Linked DNA regions of Canis lupus familiaris. The protein of the gene in region 1 interacts with the protein of each later gene in a pairwise test. Links are inferred from orthologs where the notes say so. Each region holds a gene or a part of one and is shown in the gene's direction. Other genes may lie near its edges.

Region 1 (7,718 bases):
GAATATCAGATAAACCGTGAGAATACATCTTCAGTGTAAGTTTGTCTCAAACGTTGCGCAGAGTGTACTCACACTAGGAACTTACTTGTCCTGGGACCCGTGGGTGGCTCAGTGGTTGAGCACCTGCCTTTGGCCCAGAGCGTGATCCTGGGGTCCTGGGATTGAGTCCCGCATCTGGGGCCCCTCTGCAGGGAGCCTGCTTCACCCTCTGCCTGTGTCTCTGCCTCTCTGTCTCTGTGTCTCTCATGAATAAATAAGTACAATCTTTAAAAAAAAAAGAAACTTACTTGTCCTTTATCTGAAATTCAAATTTAGTTGGCGGTTTGTATTTGTATTTGCTCAGTCTGGCAGCCCTGGCCAGCAGAAGCCTATGGTTCCTGCTTCCCAGGCTCCTGGGTCCCCCCAAAGCACACTTCTCCACTCTTAAGGTGGCCTTCCAGAAAGCTCGGATTTCATTGCAGCTGCTCCACTGGATCTGGGAAGGGCTTCCTCAGGGCCTTCAGGAATGCAGGCAGGGCCTGGGTCTGCTGGGCTCCAGATTAGTCCCAGTGCTGGACAGGTGGGGCCAGGGAGGGGGCCAGGCAGTCCAGACCATGTCACCCTCTCTAGGCAAGTTGCAGCCCTTCCTTTTCTCTCTCACACTTTCCTTCCTCCCTCCTCCTTCCCTGCTTCCTCCTCTTCTTCCCTCCTCTTCCTGGCCCCAGCTGGGCTTGGTTCCTTTTGCAAATCACCTCCTCTTCCCCCCAGGGACTCTGGAGCTATTCCCTAGAGCCCAGGGTTCACCTCTGGTGATTGTATCAGTCAGGGTTCTCTAGAGAAAAGAAACCAGTAGGACTTATGTCAGTACATGTATGTATGTGCAAATGCCTATGTGTGTGTATACAGAGATTTATTTTGAGGAATTGGCTCCTGCCATTATGGGGCTTGCAAGGGCAAAATCTGCAGGGCAGGCCTGCACATTGGAATCTGAGGCAGGGAGAGATGCTGCAGTCTTTAAAAAAAATTGTTTTTTTTTTTTTAAAGTTTGAGCATAGTCCACATACAATGTTACATTAGTTTCAGGTGTACAATATAGTGATTCAACAAGTTTGTACATTATGCTATGCTCAGTACAATTGTAGCTGACACCCGTCACCATACAATGTTATTTTAATATCACTGACTCCGTGTTCCTGGTGTTCCTGCCGTGCTTTTTACTCCCATGATTTATTCCTTCCATATCTCCCACTCCCCTGGACCTATTTTGCCCATCCCCTACCCCCCTCGTCTCTGGAAATCAGCAGTTTGTTCTTTGTATTTATAGGTCTGAATGTGCTTTTTGTTTGTTGTTTTCGACTCCACATATGAGTGGAATCATATGGTATTTGTCTTTCTCTGTCTGACTTATTTCACTTAGCATAATACCCACTAGGTCCATCTACATTGTCACAAACAGCGTGATTTCATCTTTTTTAATGTTTGCACAATATTCCACTGTATGTGTATATGTCATGTCTTCCTCATTCGATATCCAATATTCTTATTGATGGACACTTAGGTCACTCTGTATCTGGGCTGTTGTAAATAATGCTGCCATAAAAATAGGGGTGCATATGTCTTTTCACATTAGTGTTTTCATTTTCTTTTTTTATTGTTGTTTTGTTTCATTTTCTTTTTTTAAGATTTTTTTAAATGTATTTATTTACTCACGAGAGGCAGAGAGAGAGAGAGAGAGAGAGAGAGAGAGAGGCAGAGACACAGGCAGAGGGAGAAGCAGGCTCCATGCAGGGAGCCCGACATGGGACTCGATCCGGTCTCCAGGATCACACCCTGGGCTGAAGGTGGCGCTAAACCGTTGAGCCACCGGGGCTGCCCTTTGTTTCATTTTCTTTAGGTAAATACCCAGTAGTGGGATTATTGTTTCATACAGTATTTCTATTTTTAATTTTTTGAGGAAACTCAATTCTATTTTCCATAGTGGCTGCACCAATTTGCATTCCCACCAACCGTGCGTGAGGGTTCCTTTTTTTTTCCATGTCCTCACCAACACTTGTTTCTTGTATTGTTGATTTTAGCCATTCTCACAGGGGTGAGGTGATACCTCATGGTGGTTTTGATTTGCATTTCCCTGATGATGAGTGATGCTGAGCATCTTTTCACATGTCTGTTGGCCATCTGTATGTCTTCTTTGGAAATAAGTCTATTCAGGTCCTCTGCCCCTTCTTAAATTGGATTTTTTTGTTTTTCTAGTGCTGACAGTTGTATCAGTTCTTTATATATTTTGCATTTTAACCCCTTCTCAGATACATCATTTGCCCATATCTTTTCCCATTCACTAGGTTGCCTTTCTGTTTTGTTGACAGGTTCCTTTACTGTGCCAAAGCTTTGTATTCTGATTTAGTCCCAGGAGTTTTTGTTTGCTTTTGTTTCCCGATGTTGCATTCTTGAGCAAAATTTCTTCTTCGCTGGAAAACCTCAGTCTTTGCTCTTCAGGCCTTTCAACTCATTAAATGAGGCCTATCCACATTATCAAGGATTAGTAATGTCTTTTACTTAAAGTCCACAGAGTGCAAATGTCAACCAAAGCTCCAAAATAACTTCATAGCAACACCTAGACTAGTGTTTGATGGAATAACTGGGAACTATAGGCTACCCAACGAACAGATAAACTTGACCCTCACAGTGGTCTAATCATTAGGGAAGCTGAGAGAGAATTTGGACTTAGACCAGGGACTGCAGGGCCTGCCTGGGGACAGTGGGCCCTCCAGTGGCTACAGGTAGATCCCTTCTTTCCTGCCCTTCCCTCCTTAGATTCTCATGGTTCCTGCTCAGACTGACCCAAGGCATTAAAAGGCCATCTCCCCTGGGAACTCTACATTGGGGGGAAACAAGATGTGCTCTGTAGAGGATGCCTCCTGAGGGGAGCTGTGGCCTGAAATACTTGCCAGAGCTGGGCTTGCAGAAGCCACAACAAGTTTGGGATCTAACCCTGTTCTGGCTACTGACTGGCTTTGGGGTCCTGTGCCAGTATCTACCTCTCTTTAGAAATGATGGAGAGTAGATCCCACTGGCCCCTCAATGGGGCCAAATCATGTGACCCGAGAGCCAGGGTAGTTCTCACAGGCAAAGTTTCTGAGATAAGTATCAGAAACTCCTCCTCCTAAGTTGCTTACAGAGTAGCAGGGGAGAAGACTGTGAACCAAGCCAATAAGATACAACAGGAACACAAGGTGCTGGGTCCAAGGCCTGAGTCCTGTGGGAGAGTGTGGCTCCACCCCCATGGCCAGATATATCTTCCTCGAGCTCCTGCCCCTGGAAGAGCAGACTTTCCAAGAGTCTGCTCTGTGCCCGGCTTCCTGTGTATCCTGGCTATAGCTTAATAGCTAAGCGCTAGCTGTGATGGCAGGAGGCCCCCCTACTATCAAGGAGGAGATGGAAACATCCATCGCTGAAGAGCTGGTTCCTGGAAACTATGGGAAAAGCCAGGAGCACCTGGTGATAGCAGGTGAGGAGCCCCTGTAATGTCCCTTTCCTTTGGGTGTCTGCACCCAGTCACATGTGTTGGAGAAGGTGTGTTCATGGCTGGGAAGAGTCATATATATGCAAGTATGTGTGGCTATGTGTGTGTCTGTGCCTTGGTGTGCGTATACCTGTATTTGTGCCTTGATGAACAGGAAGCTGGGGGGGAAAGGTATTGATGATGTGAGCATTTTGAAGCCTGTGAGAGAGTAGGATGGGATCCACATGTGTGGTCCTTATCTCCCCCTGTCCAAGCTACCACTGTGTTTATGGCAAAGTATCCAGAGCGCTCAATTTATAAGATCATTCAGACCAATTCTCTCTCCTTTTTAATGCCTTTTCCTCCTTTAGAGTAAAATCCAAACTCCTTTCCTTGATCTACAAGAGCCAGCCAATGCCACCTCCTCAATATATTTCATGCTGTGGTATGATGACCCACAGCACACTGCATTTATACTTGTCCTCATAAGACCCGAAGGCTGATTCTTCCTGATAGCCTTTGTGTTGACTGCTACCTCTGCCTGGGATGCTGTTTTCCTAGATTTTCCATGGCTGCCATCATTTTTGTCTTTCAGGTCTCTGCCTCACAGGTGTTTCTGGCTTTTCTAGAAGTAGCCCTTCCTTCCACCATGTTGCCCTGTTCTTATCATTTTGGGAGCATGTATCTCTTGATCTGAGTTAACACTGATAGATTATACCCATTTTGCACCCCTCACTTCAGCTAAGCACACATAGACAGTTGATTACTAGATTGCTGAGATCTTGTGTCTTGGTCATTGCTCTCCCTCCAGTAACCTAGCCCAGAGTTTGGCCCTCAAGAAATACTTACTAAACTTTTAAACAAATGAACAGACTGAGGCTTGGGATCTGCCAGGGGACAACAGTGAATGAATATTGAATGACTCCTAAGAAGTTTGGGTACCTTATCCTCTTTCTGGTGTGTCCTGTGTCCAGGAAGCCTTGGTATAGCCTCTATGGGTGTTTCTGGGGCCTCTCTTCTTTTGCCTAGAAATGATGGAGCATGGATCCCAGTCTGTGGGTGCTTCTCAGCGGCGACAGAAGGCGGATCCAAAGGCTGCTGGCTCTGCTGCAGGTCAATCGGGTTGGAATATGACTGGCAACCGGAGCAAGAAAGCGGTACTGTATGGAGTCCTTGGCATGCAGTGGCTAGGCTGGGGTTGGGACAACAGACTAAAGGGGCTCCAGCTTCATGACGGTAGGTTGAGCAGAGCCAGATGTTGACTTGGGGCCAAAGGAAAAAGCTTTTGTGTACCAGTGAGGCAATGAAGGCAGGGATGTCCTTTGAGAGGTCAGGGCCATCCTTTGGTAGGCTGGGAGCTCAACCTTGGGTTTCCAGAACACCGGATTCACATATTCCTTGGGGACTACATATACACTTTATTTTGCAAAACTCTATTGTGTGTGAAATGACACTTTCCTTTATAAATAAATAATTCTATATGTATATTTCCTTCCATATCTATATTATCTATATTATCTATATAAATTATAACTATATAAATTATTTAATTATCAACTAAATAATCAGCCTGGAATCATGAGAATCATTGATGAATAAAAGGAAGGAAGGATAGGAAAGAAAGAATCTGTCTGTAGCCATTGGAGGCCCCACTGTCCCCATACAGGTCCTACAGTCTCTGGTCTAAGTCCAAATTCTCCCTCAGCTTCCCTAATGATTAGATCACTATGAGGGTCAAGTTTACCTGTTTGTTGGGTAGCCTGTAGTTCCCAGTTATTCCATCAAACACTAGTCTAGGTGTTGCCATGAAGGCATTTTGGAATTTATTTTATTTTATTTTTATTTTTATTTTTTTAAAGATTTATTTATTTATTTATGATAGAGAGAGAAAGAGAGAGGCAGAGACACAGGAGGAGGGAGAAGCAGCTCCATGCACCGGGAGCCCGACGCCGGACTTGATCCCGGAACTCCAGGATCGCGCCCTGGGCCAAAGGCAGGCACTAAACCGCTGAGCCACCCAGGGATCCCCATCATTTTGGAATTTTAGTTAGCATCTACACTCTGTGGACTTTAAGTAAAAGACATTAGTAATCCTTGATACTGTAGATGGACCTCATCTACGCTATTAAATAGAAATATACATACATAAAACAATATGATTCTCAAGTCTGGAAAAAGATTAAGACAAGTTAGGTTCCTATGTTCCCTGGCTGTTAGGAAATCCAATCAATTGAATCTGACCATTATGTAGCCAATCCTTTAAAGTACCTTTAATGTGGGTTAAGAAAAGCTCTGGAAAACTGGCAGGTACACTGTTACAAAGGATACTGGGAAAAGGTGGTCATTTTGGAGAGGAGGGAGACCTGAGTGTTCTAGGGAATCCCGTGAGATCTCTCACTGTGTAGCCAATCCTTTAGGTTACATTCACTGCTAAGTGAGAAGAAGCTTTGGAAACATGGTTGCTATACTGTTGCAAAAGTTGCTGGAAAAAGAGAACCCAGTTGGAGAGGAGAGGGACCTGACTGTTGAAGGGAGTCATCTGAGTTTCAAGTTCTGTATCCAATCTGTTCCACACTTTCACTGTGAGGGAGGGAAAGCTTTAGAAAAATGGTTGTTATACTGTTGCAAATGTTACTGGGAAAAGGCAACTCGGTTGCAGAGGAAGGGAAACCCAGTGTTCTTGGAAATCATCTGAGTCTCATTGTTCTGTAGCTAATCCTTTAAGCTACATTCACTCTGGGTGAGGGAATGTTCTAGAAAAAAAATGGCAGCCATATTGTTGCAAAGATTACTGGGAAAAGGTAGCCATGTTGGAGGAAGGATGACTCGACTATTCTAGGGAATCAGTTGAGTCAGGTAGTTCTGTAGCAGATTCTGTTAGCCAGAGTCACCATGGTTGTTACACTGTTGCAGAAGCTAGTGGGGAAAGTCAATAAGATTGGAGATTCCGGAGGCCTGGCTGTTCTAGGGAATGAGATATGATAAATGCCTAAGTGATTCCACTGCCAATGAATAAAGAGAAAAAGAGCTCCCAGAGACCTCTTGGGAATGGAAATAAGCTAGAAATACTGAATTGGTTTAGTCTCCAATGGCAGAAGTCAAATCAGGTTGCTCCAGCAGGTCAGGCTCCAGCAAGCCACCCATGCCCATGAGATTGAGGCAGAATGGGATGAGGGGGGGCAGTGGGGAGATATAATATCTGGATTAATTACAGTTACCTTTTAGGACCACAGGAATACTTTAAAAAGAAACAGCTGATATACTGATATGTATTATATACTAAATATATTGAATTTAGAAATTAGACATTTAGAAATAAGAAATTTACCAATTCTATTTATCATTGACTTTTGAGCACCTCCCCCCAAATGGAACTACCACCACCTTTGACAGAATCACAGCATGAAAGGCCAAAATTTCATGATAGTGTTTTGCTGATTTGGGTGTTGAGGAAGTAGTGTGCCTTGAAGAGTAAATGAAAATAAAAATAACACTATTTGAAGTAGTAGGCAGAAGCTAGGAGTTAATGAAGTTCATAGATTTTCTTAATCTCCATCAAAGTGCTAGCTATAAAATTCTTATATATTATTATGCATATAATTCTAAATTCACAACCATTCCTGGCTTTATTTATTTTATTTTATTTTTAAAAGATTTTATTTTTCTATTCATGAGAGACAGAGAGAGAGAGAGGCAGAGATACAGGCAGAAGCTGGCTCCATGCAGAGAGCCTGACGTGGGACTCAATCCCGGGTCTCCAGGATCACACCCTGGGCTGATGGCAGTGGTGCTAAACCTTTGAGCCACCCTGGCTGCCCCCATTCCTGGCTTTAAATGACTGCTCTGCGACTTACCTGTTGTGTGACTTGGACAAGTAACATGACCTCTCTGTGTCTCAGTTTTCCAATCTTTCAAAATGAGATGATAGTGATACCTATTTTGAGGGGTTGTGATGAGGATTTAATGGTTTGATGTTGGTTAGGGCTTAGAGAATGACATGTGGCATGTGTGAAACCAAATAGCTTGTGACATTTTTCTTCTTGCATTGGAAGCCCAGAGCTGAGATTTGAACCCAGGTGGGTCTGGCACATTCTGTTCCTCTAGCCCACACTAGTTCCTCAAGGCATGACATACCCTAGCCCCAGAGCTGTGGGCCAGACACATCCACTCCAGATACGGATAAAAATGACAGCTGCTGAGATGGCTGTGCTCACTCAGGGACTCAGAGATGTGCTCACTC
Region 2 (7,726 bases), on another chromosome or scaffold:
CCATAACCTATTTCCCTGAATGAGATGAATACTTAAAGTCCCATGGACTAAAATTCTCTGGCAAATTAGCCTAGTTTTCCTCTTGAATGGCCATAATCTAATTTTGCATATGGAAATATTTCTTAAAAATGTGTGCTGCTGCTTCCGTCTCTGTGCTCTGTGAAATGTGGAAGCATCTTGTAACAGTGATGTGTAATATATGTGTGCAATCCAATTTGATTTTTTGAAATAGGGAAGCACAAATTCTCTCTGGAATAATTTCTTTTACTGGTTCATTGTCGACAAGAAACTTGTCACCATGCTAAAGATAAAACTGCTGCTGGGTTTAGTTTAGAATTTTATAAAGTGAATAAGTGAAAAATATATATACATACATTTCAGACTCAAGTTATGAATAATTAAATGAATATATAATTGTATCCAGTTTTACCCTCAAGCTCAACTAGCAAAGACATTCAGCCCATGTAAAAAGGATATTTCACATTTTTTTCAAAAACTATGAGTGAGCTGCCCAACATCACTGAATTTATTTGCTCGTAAGCCAGAAGAACAATCTGTCTATAAAATTATACAGTGGGGAGTGCAGCATTATTCAAGAGTTTTATTTAATATACATTCTGCCTTCTAAAATTTGAATTTACACAAGCATTTTCTTAGTGTTGTCTGGTATACCTTCTTCATCATCTCTCATCCTATCTCTCGGATCCAAGGAGGCAGTAGAGATGAGGAAATAAAGACTCAACACTCTCTATTTTGGCTAAGTGCTTTTGTTTTGATGTATGAAGTATGGCAAAGTAATGTGAATGAATTAATACACATACTAAAATATATACTCAAAAGAGGGGTGCCTCTTTCAAAGTGGTTCTCTCAGAACTTATACTAATAATGCTGTTATTGTGAGGAACATAATAATTGGTTGCTTTTCCATGTTGTTCATCATATTGGCTCTGAATAAACCCTTAGCACTAAAAAAAAAAGCTCCCCCTTTTATCTGGCTCCAGTCATGAAGAAAAAGGGGCAGTTTCTTGAAGTCTCTGCACATTTGCATAAGCCATTCCCTCAGTTTGGAAGATCCTCCTTTTATTACTAAGCTCGAGATGACCCCCTTCCGAAAGTCTTCCTTGACTGGCCCCAACTCCCACCCCTCCCCCGCCATCTGTTTAGCTCCTATTTAGCTGCACTTTGGAAGTACCAACGTCACCTCAATTCACCAAATTGTTTTGCTCCATTTCTTTGCAGGCTCCATGCCGGGAGCCCGACACGGGACTCAATCCCAGGACTCCAGGATTGCGCCCTGGGCCAAAGGCAGGTGTCAAACCGCTGAGCCACCCAGGGATCCCTAGATGATATGTTCTAAAGCCACACTTTTTTTCTTCTAAATTATTTTCCAATTTTAATATTCCAAGTATCTGCCTATTCAAGGAGACACATAGATTATAACCTGAGCCCAAGACAGATGCTCAACCGCTGAGCCACCCAGGCATCCCGAAAACTGTGTTTTTATTATACTTTTTTCAGGCTAACAATTTGACCCATGGCTTACAGGCATTTCACCTAAAAGCTGAAAAAATATATATTGAGCATATTATTTGAAAATATACCTAGTGTGTTGTTTGAAAAATCAGTTAGTCTTATGTCTTGAACTTTTTTGGACATTCTATAAAGTGTGGTTTTCAACCATTAAAAAAATGGAGCAACTAAATTTGTTCAATAAAGAATTGTTAATACAAATTTATCCATAATAAAAATGATGGCATTGAGGAGTTCAGTATGTATTTTTATTTTTTATATTTTATTTAATTTTATCTTGTCTTATTTTATTTATTTTAAGTAGGCTCCCCAGCATACAGCCCAATGCAGGACTTGAATTCATGACCCTGAGATCAAGACCTGACTACTAGGTACTTATTTCATTTTTATAGAAACATATGTGCTATTTATATAGTTATATATATACAAAAATCTGAAAGGATATACCTAAATGTATACCTTCTCTATAGTTTCCAATGTTTCAACAATAAGTATAGCTAATTCATGAGATGAGGATAAGAAGATAAATTGTAGAATGGACTATTCAAAACCAAAGCAAACACCGACCAAACTAACTGAACAATCAAGTCATAGAAATGAAAAAGAAAGATGGCAAAAAAAAAAAAAAAAAAACAAAAAAAAAACAAAAAACCCAACCCCACATAACTGTATATAATTTCAAATGACTTGCTGCCACCTTGTGAGGAATGCTCCTCATTGCAGGACTGAAAAAAGCAAAATAGGAAACTACGGGGGGGGAAAAAAAATCTGAAACTTAAGATAAAATCGCTGACGTAAGCACGATCCAAGAAATTGTTCAGCTAAGGCTCTGCTTATCAGCTGATCCGTCTTGTTTGCTCCGCCAGCTAACTTCACAAAACTGCTTGGAGGAAAATATTATCAAACACGTATATGATGATAGTATGTCGTCGTATGTCTAATAAACAGCACTTTATCTCACAAAAGCCCTAGGAAGTAGGTATTATTTTTCCCTGTTTTCAGAGATGAGACAGAACGGGTGCATGTTGCCAAAACCCCGTAAACCTGGGAGCCGCATTTCGGGTCAGTGATGGACATTTTTCGGTCGCCCCCAAGCTCCCTCTTCCCATTCCCAAATGCACCGTCCCATCGGCGGACGCCTGCGCCCTCGTGGGGACTTGGCGGATGCGGATCTGAGGCCCCTCTGCACACCTGCGCCGCTGCGCCAGGTGCGATGGGTCCGCAGAGCTGGGCCCTTCCGCCACCTGTGCACGGCCGGACGGGAACAGAAACAGCGTCTGGAAGGCGTGACGGTGATCTTACAGCACCTTTATGGCGATTCTTCCTCCCCTACTTTCACCCATTCTATGCTATAAAATTATTCTAAGGATCAATAAAGCCCACAGAAGGGATGTAGAAACGTCCCTTTGAGAGTCGAGGACCGGGTCTCAGCGGGAGGAGAGGAGGCGCGGCCAGCCCGGGCGGAATGCGCATGCGTCAGTCCGCGCGGCCGAGGGGGCGGGGCAAGGGCCAAAGACGCCCCGCCTCCGTCTCCGCCGGCCCCCGCGCCCGAAGGAGGTCGGGATTCCGTCACTTCCGCCCCGGCGGCTGTCTGCGTCCGGGTCAGCTGCTGTCGCTGCGGCTGTAGCCAGGGCACTGGGCCCGGGTCTCCGCTGCAGTCCGAGGGGAGCGGGCTCCTCTCGGCGCTCCCTCCTGCGCCCTGGCCGTCAGCCCCACGTCGCCGGCCTGGAGGGGCGAGGAAGACGAGGGGGCCAAGGCTTCCTCCGGGGTGAGTGCGGCCCGGGAAGGCTGGGCACGGCGGGGCTGGGCTGAGAGCAGGCCTGCGGCGGACGTCTGAGGGGTGCGTGCCCCCCGGACAGCCCGAGAGGGGAGGCGCGGAGGGCTGCGGATGGAGGGGGCCGCCGGGGAGCTTGCCCGGGACGCGCTTCCCGGATCCCCGCCCAGCTTAGGCCCCCGCCCTTGGCTCGGCTCCTGTTTGCCTTAGCTAGGCTTACCCGCCACCCGGCCACCCCTTTTCCGTTTGTGCTGTTGTGTTCGGGGCGGGACTTGCCCCCCCTCCCCCGCTGGGCCCCCCTGCACACCCCCTGGTCTGGGTGCGGTGACCGGGCCGCTTCGGTCGCGTATTTAAGACCAGCGTCAGTCCCGGTGCAGAACAAAGAAACTCGGACGTCTGCTGTGCCCAGTACCCTCGGGGAATAGACGCGGAAGCGGCCCTTGGTAATGAGGGCTTTAGAGGGCCTTCCTACGTATAAAAGCCCAGTTCCTGCGTGGATTCAGACATCAGCTTTTGCTTAATGGTTTGCGTTTCCTGGGCGTCTCTCATGCAGCTGGAAATCTCCTAGATCAACTCCAGTTAAATCAGGAATCTGTTCGGATCTGTTAACGTTGCTTTGAAACTTCCCTCGTCTGCCAGTTGGCGGGAGCCCTCGGAGAGCACAGCTTTTGCCCAGTTCCTCCTGGTTGACATAGTGCCTGCCTTAGAGTTTAGTTGAGTGAAGTGTGTGATTGCACTTTACAGTTGCCTTTTTTTTTCCCCCTCCTCCTCACCTTTTTAAATTAGGATCTCTATTTATCTTAGTGCCTAGTTACGTTTTCAGCGAAACATATTCCTTCTCTAAAATTTTATAAGAATTTCTGCAACTTGTAAATGGATAACTTCAGTTACCCCGTTTAGTTAGCTTGTATACTATCATCTTGATGATCTTTGGACACCTTTTACTTAGTTCTCGTCATTTTACATTTCTTCTAGACTATTCTTATTTTCATAATCTCCTCTATTGCCGCCTCACATTGTTGGGCTAATACAGGAAGTATGACAGGTCCACTTCTGCAAACATGGATCTTGAGCTAGGTGGTCATTAGTCAGTGCTGTTGTAGTCTTTAAGCATTAGAGGACCTTTGAAGTTAAATGTAACCAAGTCTGGCATTACAGGCTTATGCTGTATAAAGTTGCCAGTGAACTGGAGACAGTGTGCTGTATTAGAAACAGGCTGCATTTAATCTGGGACCCAAAATGTAGGGTCATTTGCCTCATATGTAAACTAAAACGGGGATAAATAACACCCATATTTCGTACCTCACAAAAGTTGTTGATTGGAACATACCAGATGATGAATGTACAAGTGGTTAGTAAATGCCAAAAGGAAAGTGGTTCTTTTCTTTGCCTTTGGAGTAACGCCAGTAGGAGCTGTGATGGAGGAAGGCATCTAAAACAAGGAAGGCCAGACAGAGCTGGCAGAGGGAGAAGCAGGCTCCCTGCGGGGAGCCTGATGCAGGACTCGATCCTGGGACTCTGGGATCACACCCTGAGCCCAAGGCTAATGCTCAACCACTGAGCTACCCAGGCGCCCCTGTAATACAGTATTATTAACTATAATCAACACGACACGCTATACATTACATCCTTAGGATTTATTTTATAACTGGAAGTTTGACCCCCTTCACCCATTCCTCCAACCCCTCTTCCGTCTGGCATCCACCAGTCTGTTCTTTACATCTTTGAACTTGGTGTGTGTGTGTGTGTGTGTGTGTGTGTGTGTTTTAAGATTCCACAAGTAAGTGAGACCTTATAGTATTTGTCTTTCTCTAACTTACTTTACATAGCATAATGCCCCCAAGGTCTATCCATGTTGTCCCAACTGGCAAGATTTCATTCTTTTTATGGTTGAATAATATTCCATTGTATATGGATACCACAGTTTTTTTTTTAAGATTTTATTTATTTATTCATGAGAGACACAGAGAGAGAGAGAGAGAGAGAGAGAGAGGCAGAGAGGCAGAGGGAAAAGCAGGCTCCATGCAGGGAGCCCGATGTGGGACTCGATCCCGGGTCTCCAGGATCAGGCCCTGGGCTGAAGGTGGTGCTAAACCACTGAACCACCCGGGCTGCCCTGTATACCACAATTTTTTAATCTATTCATTTATCGGTGGAAACAGGTTGCCTCCATATCTTGGCGATTGTAAATAATGCTGCTATGAACATGGGGCTGCATATACCTTATTGAGATAATGATTTTGTTTCCTTCAGATAAATACCCAAAATTGCTGGATCAAATGGTAGTTCCTTTTAATTTTTCGGGGAACCTCCATACTGTTTTCCATAGTGGCTTTACCAACTTACATGCCTATCAACAGTGCACAGGGACTCCTTTTTCTGCACATCCTTGCCAACACTTGCTATTTCTTGTCTATTCAAGAACGGCCATTCTGACAGGTGTAAGGTGACATCTCACTGTCATTTCGGTCTTAGAAACTTGTATGACCCTGCTTTCAAGGAAGCAGTGACAAGCGTATAAGATTTTTCTGGAGGTGTTTTGGTGATCTTTGTAAACATAAATATAGACTGGTCTAAAGTATTTTCCAGTAACACTACCAGTGCTGCCAGCCTCCTAGGGAAAAGTGAACACAAATACTTAGAATGAAGCCCTTCTGTTTAAATGCAGAAGTAAAAGACTTGCCTGGACATTTCCTTCTGCCAACTATAATTGATTTCAGCATAGATGGTAGTTACTAGCACCTATTCTAGCAGCACTGTTAAACTACATAATAGTAAAGTGGCATGTAAGATTATAATTTATAATTCAGACAGTTGTAAATGTGATTTTAATATTTAATTTTTGCTTATATTGCTGAGTTTATAGGGAAATCCCCTTCTTTATCTTGGTTGAATTTACTGCCACACCTCCCTTCCAGAAGTTGTCTCAGGAGGTAATCCATTCTCCTTGATTTTTAACCTCACTGATGTCAGCCGGTGTTTTGAATTTATCTGTATGCCTTCTGCTGGTAACTGGCATAAGCAATCATGTGCTCCCGGTACCACCAGTATGTTGAGAAATCTAGTTATTCTTGTTGCATTTGGTTATTTTAACAAATAGCATCTTAAAGTGTAATTTCCTCCATTCTAATTTACCAAATCTATGAACAAAAAATGGGAAACAGCCACAGTTAACTTGTGAGTCAGTGGTGTCCTGATTTCCTTCAAAGTGGTTGTGCTTATATTGCTCCTTTCTTGTTTGTTTCCTGTTCTTACAGCTGCTGATGATTAAGTGCTTCCAAGAACAATACTCTCTCAGTTGTTTGAACTTTTTGTCTACCTAGTGTACTTTTCTCTCTACAATTTATGGTGAAATAGGCAAGATTGAGTCTGTCTGCTGTCTCCTGCTGGTTCTGTTTAGCTTAAATAATTATCCCCAAACTAAATATCCATGTCCATGTGCTGTATTAACATGACATGCTTCAATATGATTTTGAAATAAAAATTGAATGAATTGGCTGAAACACTTGAGTTATTTTCAAGTGATAAACTTCTTCAAGTAGTAGGGGAGCTAAAAGACATCATTTGTCTTATAGAATTTCACAAGTTACATATTTCTCTTAGAAATAAGGAATAAGGGCAGCCCCGGTGGCGCAGCGGTTTAGCACCACCTGCAGCTCAGGGTGTGATCCTGGAGACCCGGGTTGGAGTCCCATATCAGGTTCCCTGCATGGAGCCTGCTTCTCCCTCTGCCTGTGTCTCTGCCTCTCTCTCTCTCTCTCTCTCTCTGTGTCTCTATGAATAAATAAATAAAGTCTTTAAAAAAAAAAAGAAATAAGGAATAATTTTACCAACAGAAATTGATAATTGCATGTATGTGGGTTGCCCTAAATATTTTCATTACACTTTTTGAGAGTAAAACAACAGGAAGCCTATTAATGTAGTTTAATAAGAAAAATAAGCCTAAGAGGTAGAGCAAAACAATGGCTTGCTATCCAGTGTCGTACCTTATAATAGTCTTACTTGTAACTAACATTTACAGGCTTATGTGCCATGCACTGTGCTAGGTGTTGGGAATATAGTGATAGCAACTTTCAGTCTCTGCTTTTATTTATGAGATATTAAATATTTTTCTAAGTATGTGGGATATTTGAAAAAGGCAACAAGAACATCCTGATATTTTTCCAACACATACAAAAAGGTAAAACAAAATAATGGAAACTTTTTCTGATTATTGAATTTCGGAAGTATATTCGCTTTTAAGTGATTACACAAGACTTCAGAAAAAAATTGAGTACAGTGAATTAAAAACTTCTGAAAGAGATAGTTTTAAACCTTTAGTGATAGTGTTTCAGTCTCACTTGAGAATTAATTTCTAAGTTAATAGGCATTAAGTATTTGGGCTTTATGGCCATAATCTTTTGGTCTTTTATACTAGTTCTG
Region 3 (7,491 bases), on another chromosome or scaffold:
TTTTCCAGCAGTACTTATAGCTCAGGAACAGAGTTAGAGAAACCCAGAAGGTTGGATTTTTTTTCCCCAGAGTTGGAGACCTGCCAGGCAGGTGTGACAGAAGAATAATTGCAGAATGGAGGTAAGCATATTGGGAAAAAGGTGATGGAAGTGATAAACCTTGGACTTTCAGCTGATGGGGAAGGAAATAAAGATTGGGGAGAGGTGATACATTGAACAAAGTAAGAAGGACAAGTGGAGTGGAGGCTTCTGCAGGCCAGAGAACAGTGGGCAGATTTCTGAGAACAGTCAAGGGACAGAGATCAGGTGTCTGCATTTACAACTTCAAACGTGGAGCTCTTCTATGGTGATAAGCAGTTCAGGATGTGATCCTGAAGTGGAGGGATGAAGAAGCCTGGGAAAGTCAAAATGACCAGTGATGGAGAGGAGGGCTAGGACTTCAGATTCTACATCTTACCTTTTAGCCCAGTCCACTCTGGTGCCCCAGTCACATGAGCTGCACCAATCAGAAGGCACAAAGCCCTATTATAAAGCACTCAAACTGTAGATTCTGAGAACCCGGGGCTCCATATTCAAAAGCTGTAGGTCTGGTGCCAATTTTTCCTTCCTCATTCCAAGCCAGAGCCTTGTTTTCATGACCGTGGTGAGAAGACCTCATCTCCATTCACGTGTGAATGCACCTTGAGAGGGAATCCTAGCCTCTTTCCTGGCACATACAATGAAGGGGTTTCAATCTCCTTTACCAATCAAATCTCATTGTTTTTATCCTTTGTGTCTCTTATGATCTAGCCTCATGATCATTTGTCACACAGGCCAACCCTGACTCAGTGGCGATCCCTGGAGGTCAACTCTGTCATAGCTCTCTTCTGTTTTCATTTTGTAATTTTTCTCTATGTGAGGTCTGCTTCAATTTCTGCCCATTTGGTGATGATTTTCAAAAGTCTATGTCCAGCCCAGACCTGTACATGGAATGCCAACCTGTATGTTCGACTGTGTACAATGACATCCCAACCAGAAGTGTCAAAGGGTGCCTCAAATTCAGTTTGTCTTAGATGGAACTAGTGATCATTCGTCTCTCCAAAATCAGATCCTTTTCCAGCGTTCTTTATATCCATGAATCCCTCCACTTTCTACCCAGTCACTCAAGGCTGAACAGTGGCATTGTCCTTGAAGCTACTTTGTTACCGTTTCACATCCAGATCATCACCAAGTCTTGTTGATTTTTCTCCTCTATGTCTCTGCAGACTGCCTAGTTCTCACCCTCTTCACCATCGCTCGGGTCTAAGTCCAAGCTCCAACTTCATCCTCTCATGCCCAGATGGCTGCATTGGCTTCCCAGCTCTCCTATCAGAGAGATAGGAGATAGGTGGTCTTAGCTCTTCTATTCTCTCTAGTGGCTCTCACCATATTCCTTACTCTCTAAACTCTGAGTTTTTTTATCTTTCTTGTCTTTTTCTTCTTTGTGGTAAAATATACATAAAATTTACCATTTTAACCATTTATTTATTAAAGATATTATTTTTATTTTTAAAAATATTTTATTTATTTATCTGAGAGAGTGAGCAAGAGAGAGCACGAATGGGAAGGAGGGGTGAGGGAAAGCAGACTCCCCTGGGAAGGGAGCCCAACCCAGGGCTCCATCCTAGGACCCGGGGATTATGATCTGAGCTGAAGGCAGACATTTAATCAACTGAGCCACCCAGCCACCCGCTCCTCCACCCCTGCCCCGTTTTAACCATTTTTAAATGTACAATTCTGTGACGTTTAAAATTATACATTGTTGTGCAGCCATCACCATTATTCATTTTCAGAACTTTTTCTCCTTCCCAGTTGAAATTCTGTGCCTGTTGAACACTAGCTTCTCATGTACTACCCCGTTTCTTTTCATCCCTCAAAGAAGCCTTGCTGCCTCCCTGTTCTTTGTACATACTCTACCCTCTGTCTGAACCAGTCTTCTATCCCTTTTTGCCTCCTTAGCTACTAGTCAGCTGGTGTCACATTCTCAAAGAAGCCTCCTCCGACTCCCAAGTTCAGACCGGAAGCTCCCGTAATTTCTCTAAAAAGCCTTGTTCCTGGGATGCCTGAGCGGCTCAGTAGTTAAGCATCTGCCTTTGGCTCAGGTCGTGATCCCAGGATCCTGGGATGGAGTCCCCCATCAGGCTCCCCAGAGGAAGCCTGCTTCTCCCTCTGCCTGTGTCTCTGCCTCTCTCTCTGTGTCTCTCATGAATAAATAAAATAAAAACATCTTAAAAAGGAAACCTTGTTCCTCTCTGAAGAGCACGCGTCTCGGTTTGTATTTAAACACACGTGTAACTGTTGAATTGTTCGATTGGTGCTCTCACTCTGCCCTCTCTCTTTTCTTTAAGATTTCATTTATTTACTCATGAGACACAGAGAGAGAGAGAGAGAGAGAGAGAGAGAGAGAGAGAGAGAGGCAGAGACACAGGCAGAGGGAGAAGCAGGCTCCATGCAGGGAGCCCGACGCGGGACTCGATCCCGGGGCCCCAGGATCAGGCCCTGGGCTGAAGGCGGCGCTAAACCGCTGCGCCACCCGGGCTGCCCTCTGCCCTCTCTTAACATAGTTTTTAGTGTCAGGAGTTCCTTCTGTGTCCCCAGTGCCTGGCATAGTGTCTGACACACAGCAGGTGCTCAAAATTTGTTGGAGGAAAACTAAATGGACGACTTCAGCTTCCCTGCAGCGGGCCGTGCATCTGTGGTATCTGTGAGCGCCTCCCCCGCCAGACTGAGGTGTGTCCCTCCAGGGTCGGACTTCAGCACCTCGTCCGAGGTGGCAGGAGGCTGTGCTCTTTGGTTTCGCCTATCTCGGGCTTCCCGCCCCGCCGCGCAGGCAGCGGAACCCACAGCCGGGGCGTGTCGCGCAGTTCCGCGGAACCTCCCTGCCTCGGCGCGTCAGTCGTGTACTCTACCCCGGCAGGAACCGAACGGAGACGGAGAAGTCTCCTGGCACCTCCGGACGTGGGGACTACAGGCCTGGACATCAAGCCCACCCGGGTGAGAGCCCCGAGAAGGGACGCAAGCCGAGAGGCGCGCGCGCCGGGGCCACAGCCCGGGCGCCTTCGGGTCGCAGCCCTTTAAGAAGCCTCCGGGTCGGGACTGCGCGGGGAGCGGGCGGGGAGAGCGCTCCGGGATTGGTCGGCCCGGGTGCGGGTGTCGCTTAGCAGCAGCGAATGGAGACTCAAGGCCTGCGCATGCGCACCTCCGCCTACCTGCGCCTGGGCCGCCAGTGACCTGGGCCGGGTCCGCCCGGTGGGCTGAGGTTGCGGAGGCGGCGGCGGGTGGTACTGCGGCGAGGCGGGGCGACCCGCGGGCGCCGACTCCCGGAGGCCGCCGTGGGCGAGGTGAGGGCTCGCGGGTGGAGCCGGGCGCCGCGGCCCGTTAGCCGAAAGCGGGCGGGGTCGGGTGTGGCGCAGGGCGGGCCTGGAGGTGGAGGCGGCGCCGGGCCCGCCCCTCCCTCGGGCCGGGCTTGGCCCCACCTGGCTCCGTGGGGCTCGTCGGAGTCCTCTGTCCGCCTGGCTTCCCCCGGCGGGTCTGCCGACTCGGGGACGGCGGAGGCGCGCGCCGGCAGGGACCCCGAGCTGACAGCTGCGCGCCGATCGCTGCTCCCAGTGGGAGGAGAAGGGGTGTGTCCAGATGAGAGGGGGCGATCGTTTCCTTCATTGTCCGCGAAGCCCCGGTCAGAGTACTGTTTAATTTTAATAGCAAACTTTCCTTGGCATGCCGGAGTTCTACGGCTTGCGGTACCAAATCCTGGGCACACTGGACCAGTTTTCCGAACATCAGGTATATAGAGGAGGTGAGATGTACATTTGTGCCTATTAGAGGCTTACCTCTGGACCTCCAGAGCCAGAAGGATGAAGCACTCCGGGGAAAATTAGTTTTTTTTGTTTTTCTGTTTTGTTTTGTTTTGTTTTTGGAAATCAGAGCCACAAAAGAATATTCCCAGTTGGCGAAAAGTAATTGGTGATACTTGTCACATGGTCAGAACAAAAAAATAAAGCTCAGACTGATGGATAAGGTAAATCTTAGTTAAGTTTTACAAAGGAATTCATCTCGAGAAAGGCAATTTTAGTGAAATTAAAATGCAAATAATTGAAAGTGGTTTAATACTGGTATATAGAATTAAATCGATATAACGGTGTTTGCTCTGGAAAATACATTTTAGACAATGGTTCTTAGAGCTCTGAGTGTTTGTGTTCACAACACAGAAGACATCTTGCAATGGAAAAGTTTTATTCTTAGAAGGAGCCTCAGAAACCAGCTGCATCGGAAAGGTGATTGACGGTCAGAGAGGAAAACTGACTTACTTACTAAAAGTAACACGAGGAGTATGAACAGTTGTAAAAAGAGTTCTTTTTTAAGAACCCTGTTCTTAAACAGGTCTTAAACCCTGTTCTATTAACAGGTCTCTGATTAGTTGAGTAGTGATGCTCTAGGAGAAAGAGAAAATAAAATAGCTGTAATCCCACAGATTGGATTTAGAGAGGGAGAGTGTAATGAAAAGGTTATATAGGTTTTTGAATATTTTGAGTAAGGAACTTTGGGTTTGAACCCTGGCTCCATATCACTTATGCCTTGGGAGCTACAGTTTCCCCACCTGTCTGGTATAGATTATGCCTACTTCATAGATAGTTATAAGGAGTAAATAACATTATCAGTTTAAAAGTTCTAGCACAGTGTCTTGCATAGGAGTTGCTATCAAGTTCAGGCCTCTGCTCTTCTTAGCTCCTATGAAAGAGTTGACCTCTACCCACGCACCTCCACCCACTATCCCCAAGCAACATGGAACAAAGGAGCCTGAGTGATCTACAATTTGGGTAACCAGTTCTCAAGTCTTGTGGCTGAAGATGAATTCAGTAAGGATGACATAACTCAATTTTGTTTTCTATATTGTGTATTTGAGGAATGGGTAATATGCCTTATGGTGAGCACATATTTGAATATTTGTGTGCCAAATTAAACTTGTTTTGCTTGTTTATGCTACTATTTTGCAAGGCCCTGGTCACTTAATGCTGTTTTTCTCTCATGCTTTCTTTCTCTCTCTTTTGGAGAGAGGAGGGGGAGGCATATATGTGGTAGGGATTTGGGAGAGGGCTAAGTGTAAGACCGAGGAAAGAAAAAACAACATTGGGAACAAGGGTGGCCTCCAGTTAGGCCCAAAGTCTTTGCTGATAGAATAGGGATAATCTATGACATGAGCAGTTTATAAATAGATGCTGAGCAGAGGATTTAGGAAATGGAAGAGGCAGATTAAGATACCATTTTTATAAAGCCTGGTAGTAACTCAGGTGCTGTATGTTTGATTACTAATTCAGTTTCTCCTTTAAAAAAATTCTACTTCTATTAATTTTTTTCCTCTGCAAGTAGAAATTTATTGTGGAAAAATATTCGGAATATAGCAAGATCTGCAAACCCGCATTTCTTGGCTCAGTGGGCAAAAATAAGGCAGCTCTTAGGTCATTCATTCATTTACTTAGCAGTTTTTACTGAGGGCTTCCTCATGTGTGCCAGGCATGGTGTCAGGTTATAAGGTCCCACTGGCCTGTAGAAGGAGCAGGGAAGACATACTAGTGTCTCTGTGTGAGTACTCTGAGGGTGCTTTTACCCTTGTATAATTGATAATTTTTTTCTATAATTGTGGCATGATTTTCCAGATTTATACCACTACTTCTTGTTTTTTATTTACTATTTATTTATTTATTTATTTATTTATTTATTTGAGACGCAGGGGGAGAGGGAGAGAGGCAGAGACACAGGCAGAGGGAGAAGCAGGCTGCATGCAGGGAGCCCGATGTGGGATCGATCCGGGGTCTCCAGGATCATGCCCTGGGCTGAAGGCAGATGCTTAACCACTGAGCCCCCCCGGGCTGCCTTACTTCTTGTTTTTTTTTTTTAAACTGAATACTAGTTATCTACAAACACCTTTTATTTTAATTAATTAACTCTAAGATTAGAACCCCTTCCAGTTTGGAAATGTCATGTAGTTATAGAGCCTGCTTGCTATAAAACATATTTTTCAACATTCAAGCATAGATCCTCAAAACTTCAATTAATTAGCAGACAAGAGTATTGATCTACTTTAGAGATATCTAAAAGTAATACTTAAACATAAAAAGCAGATAGGAGCATAATTTAAGTAAGTGGTATAAAGACCTTAAGTTAATACTTTTTTTCTTCAAATTTTATTTAAAAATAATTATAGGAATTTGCAAAGATAGTACAGAGAGGTTCCATATACCCTTTACTTAGTTTCCCCGATTGGTTACATCTTACGTAATGTAAGTATAGTACGATATCAAATCCAGGAAAAAAAAAGTTAAGATATTTAAATTCAATTGGCCAACATACAGTATAATACCCAGTACTCATCCCATCAAGTGCCCTCCTTTAGTGCCTGTCTCAAATCCAGGAAATTAGCCTTGATAAAAGTACATATAGTTCCATGACATTTTACCATATGTATAGATTCCTATAACTACCACTATAATCAAGATACAAAATTGTTGCATCACCACAAATATCTTCCTCTTGTTCTCCTTTCTAGTCACACCCATACCTCTTCTCCCCACCATCCCTAACCCTAGGCAGCCACTAATAATTTCTCTGTCTGTGATTTTGTCGTTTTGAGAATGTGACATAAAAGGATTCCTATGGTATGTGACCTTTTGAGATTGGATTTTTTTTCATTTGACACAGTACTCTTGAGATCCATCTAAGTTGATCTGAGTTTTAGTAGTTTATTTCTTTTTACTGCTGAGTAGTATTCCATGATATGAATGTACTGTTTTATTTGACTAGTCACTTTGTAGGGTATTTGGTTGTTTCCAGCTCTTGGCTGTTATAAATAAAGCCGTTGTGAACAATTGTACACAGATTTTTGTGTGGACATAAATGTTCATTTCTGTGAGATAAATGCCCAGGAGTGTGATTGATAGATCATACATTAATTGCATGTTTAGTTTTAGAAGACACTGCCAAACGACTTTCCAGGGTCACTCTTCCATTTTAGAGTCTTACCAGCAACACATGAGAGATCCAGTTCCTATGCATGCATTACCAGCATTTGATATTTTCACTCTAAAAAATTTAGCTGTTCTCATAGGTATACAGTTTTATCTCATTGTGATCTTAAATTACTTTTCCCTTAATTGCTAGTGATGCTGAACATCTTTTCATGTGCTTATTTGTCATCCATATATTCTTTTTGGTGAAATGTCTGTTCATGCACTTTGCCTATTTTCTAACTGGATTGTTTTCTTACTGTTGAGTTTTAAGAGTTCTTTATAACTTCTAGTTATCTAGGTATCTATATAACAGATATGTGGTTTACAAATATTTTCTCCCAGTCTCTGGATTGTCCTTTCATCCTTTTCACGTGAGCTTTTATAGATTGAATGTTTAATTTTAATGATATCCAATTTACTAATTTTTCTTTTGTGGATTATGCTTTTGATGTCATGTCTAAGAACTCTT

The links. The genes of interacting proteins can lie anywhere in the genome.
Region 2: the proteins of FATE1 (region 1) and BNIP2 interact in binary tests that used the Homo sapiens proteins (3 or more experiments, as listed by UniProt). The two-hybrid records come from large-scale screens. The link is inferred for Canis lupus familiaris from reciprocal best matches to the Homo sapiens genes FATE1 and BNIP2.
Region 3: the proteins of FATE1 (region 1) and SEC22C interact in binary tests that used the Homo sapiens proteins (3 or more experiments, as listed by UniProt). The two-hybrid records come from large-scale screens. The link is inferred for Canis lupus familiaris from reciprocal best matches to the Homo sapiens genes FATE1 and SEC22C.

What each region holds. Positions count from the first base shown.
Region 1 is NC_049260.1:120,978,321-120,986,038, forward strand, and holds the start of FATE1 (fetal and adult testis-expressed transcript protein), read left to right. Parts: upstream 1-3,283; 5' UTR 3,284-3,378; coding exon 3,379-3,484; intron 3,485-4,507; coding exon 4,508-4,635; intron 4,636-7,718. UniProt on the Homo sapiens protein: Involved in the regulation of endoplasmic reticulum (ER)-mitochondria coupling. Negatively regulates the ER-mitochondria distance and Ca(2+) transfer from ER to mitochondria possibly implicating it in the regulation of apoptosis.
Region 2 is NC_049251.1:24,906,207-24,913,932, reverse strand, and holds the start of BNIP2 (BCL2/adenovirus E1B 19 kDa protein-interacting protein 2), read left to right. Parts: upstream 1-3,099; 5' UTR 3,100-3,298; intron 3,299-7,726.
Region 3 is NC_049244.1:11,941,058-11,948,548, reverse strand, and holds the start of SEC22C (vesicle-trafficking protein SEC22c), read left to right. Parts: upstream 1-2,864; 5' UTR 2,865-3,012; intron 3,013-3,223; exon of another isoform or gene 3,224-3,359; intron 3,360-3,531; exon of another isoform or gene 3,532-3,814; intron 3,815-7,491. UniProt on the Homo sapiens protein: May be involved in vesicle transport between the ER and the Golgi complex.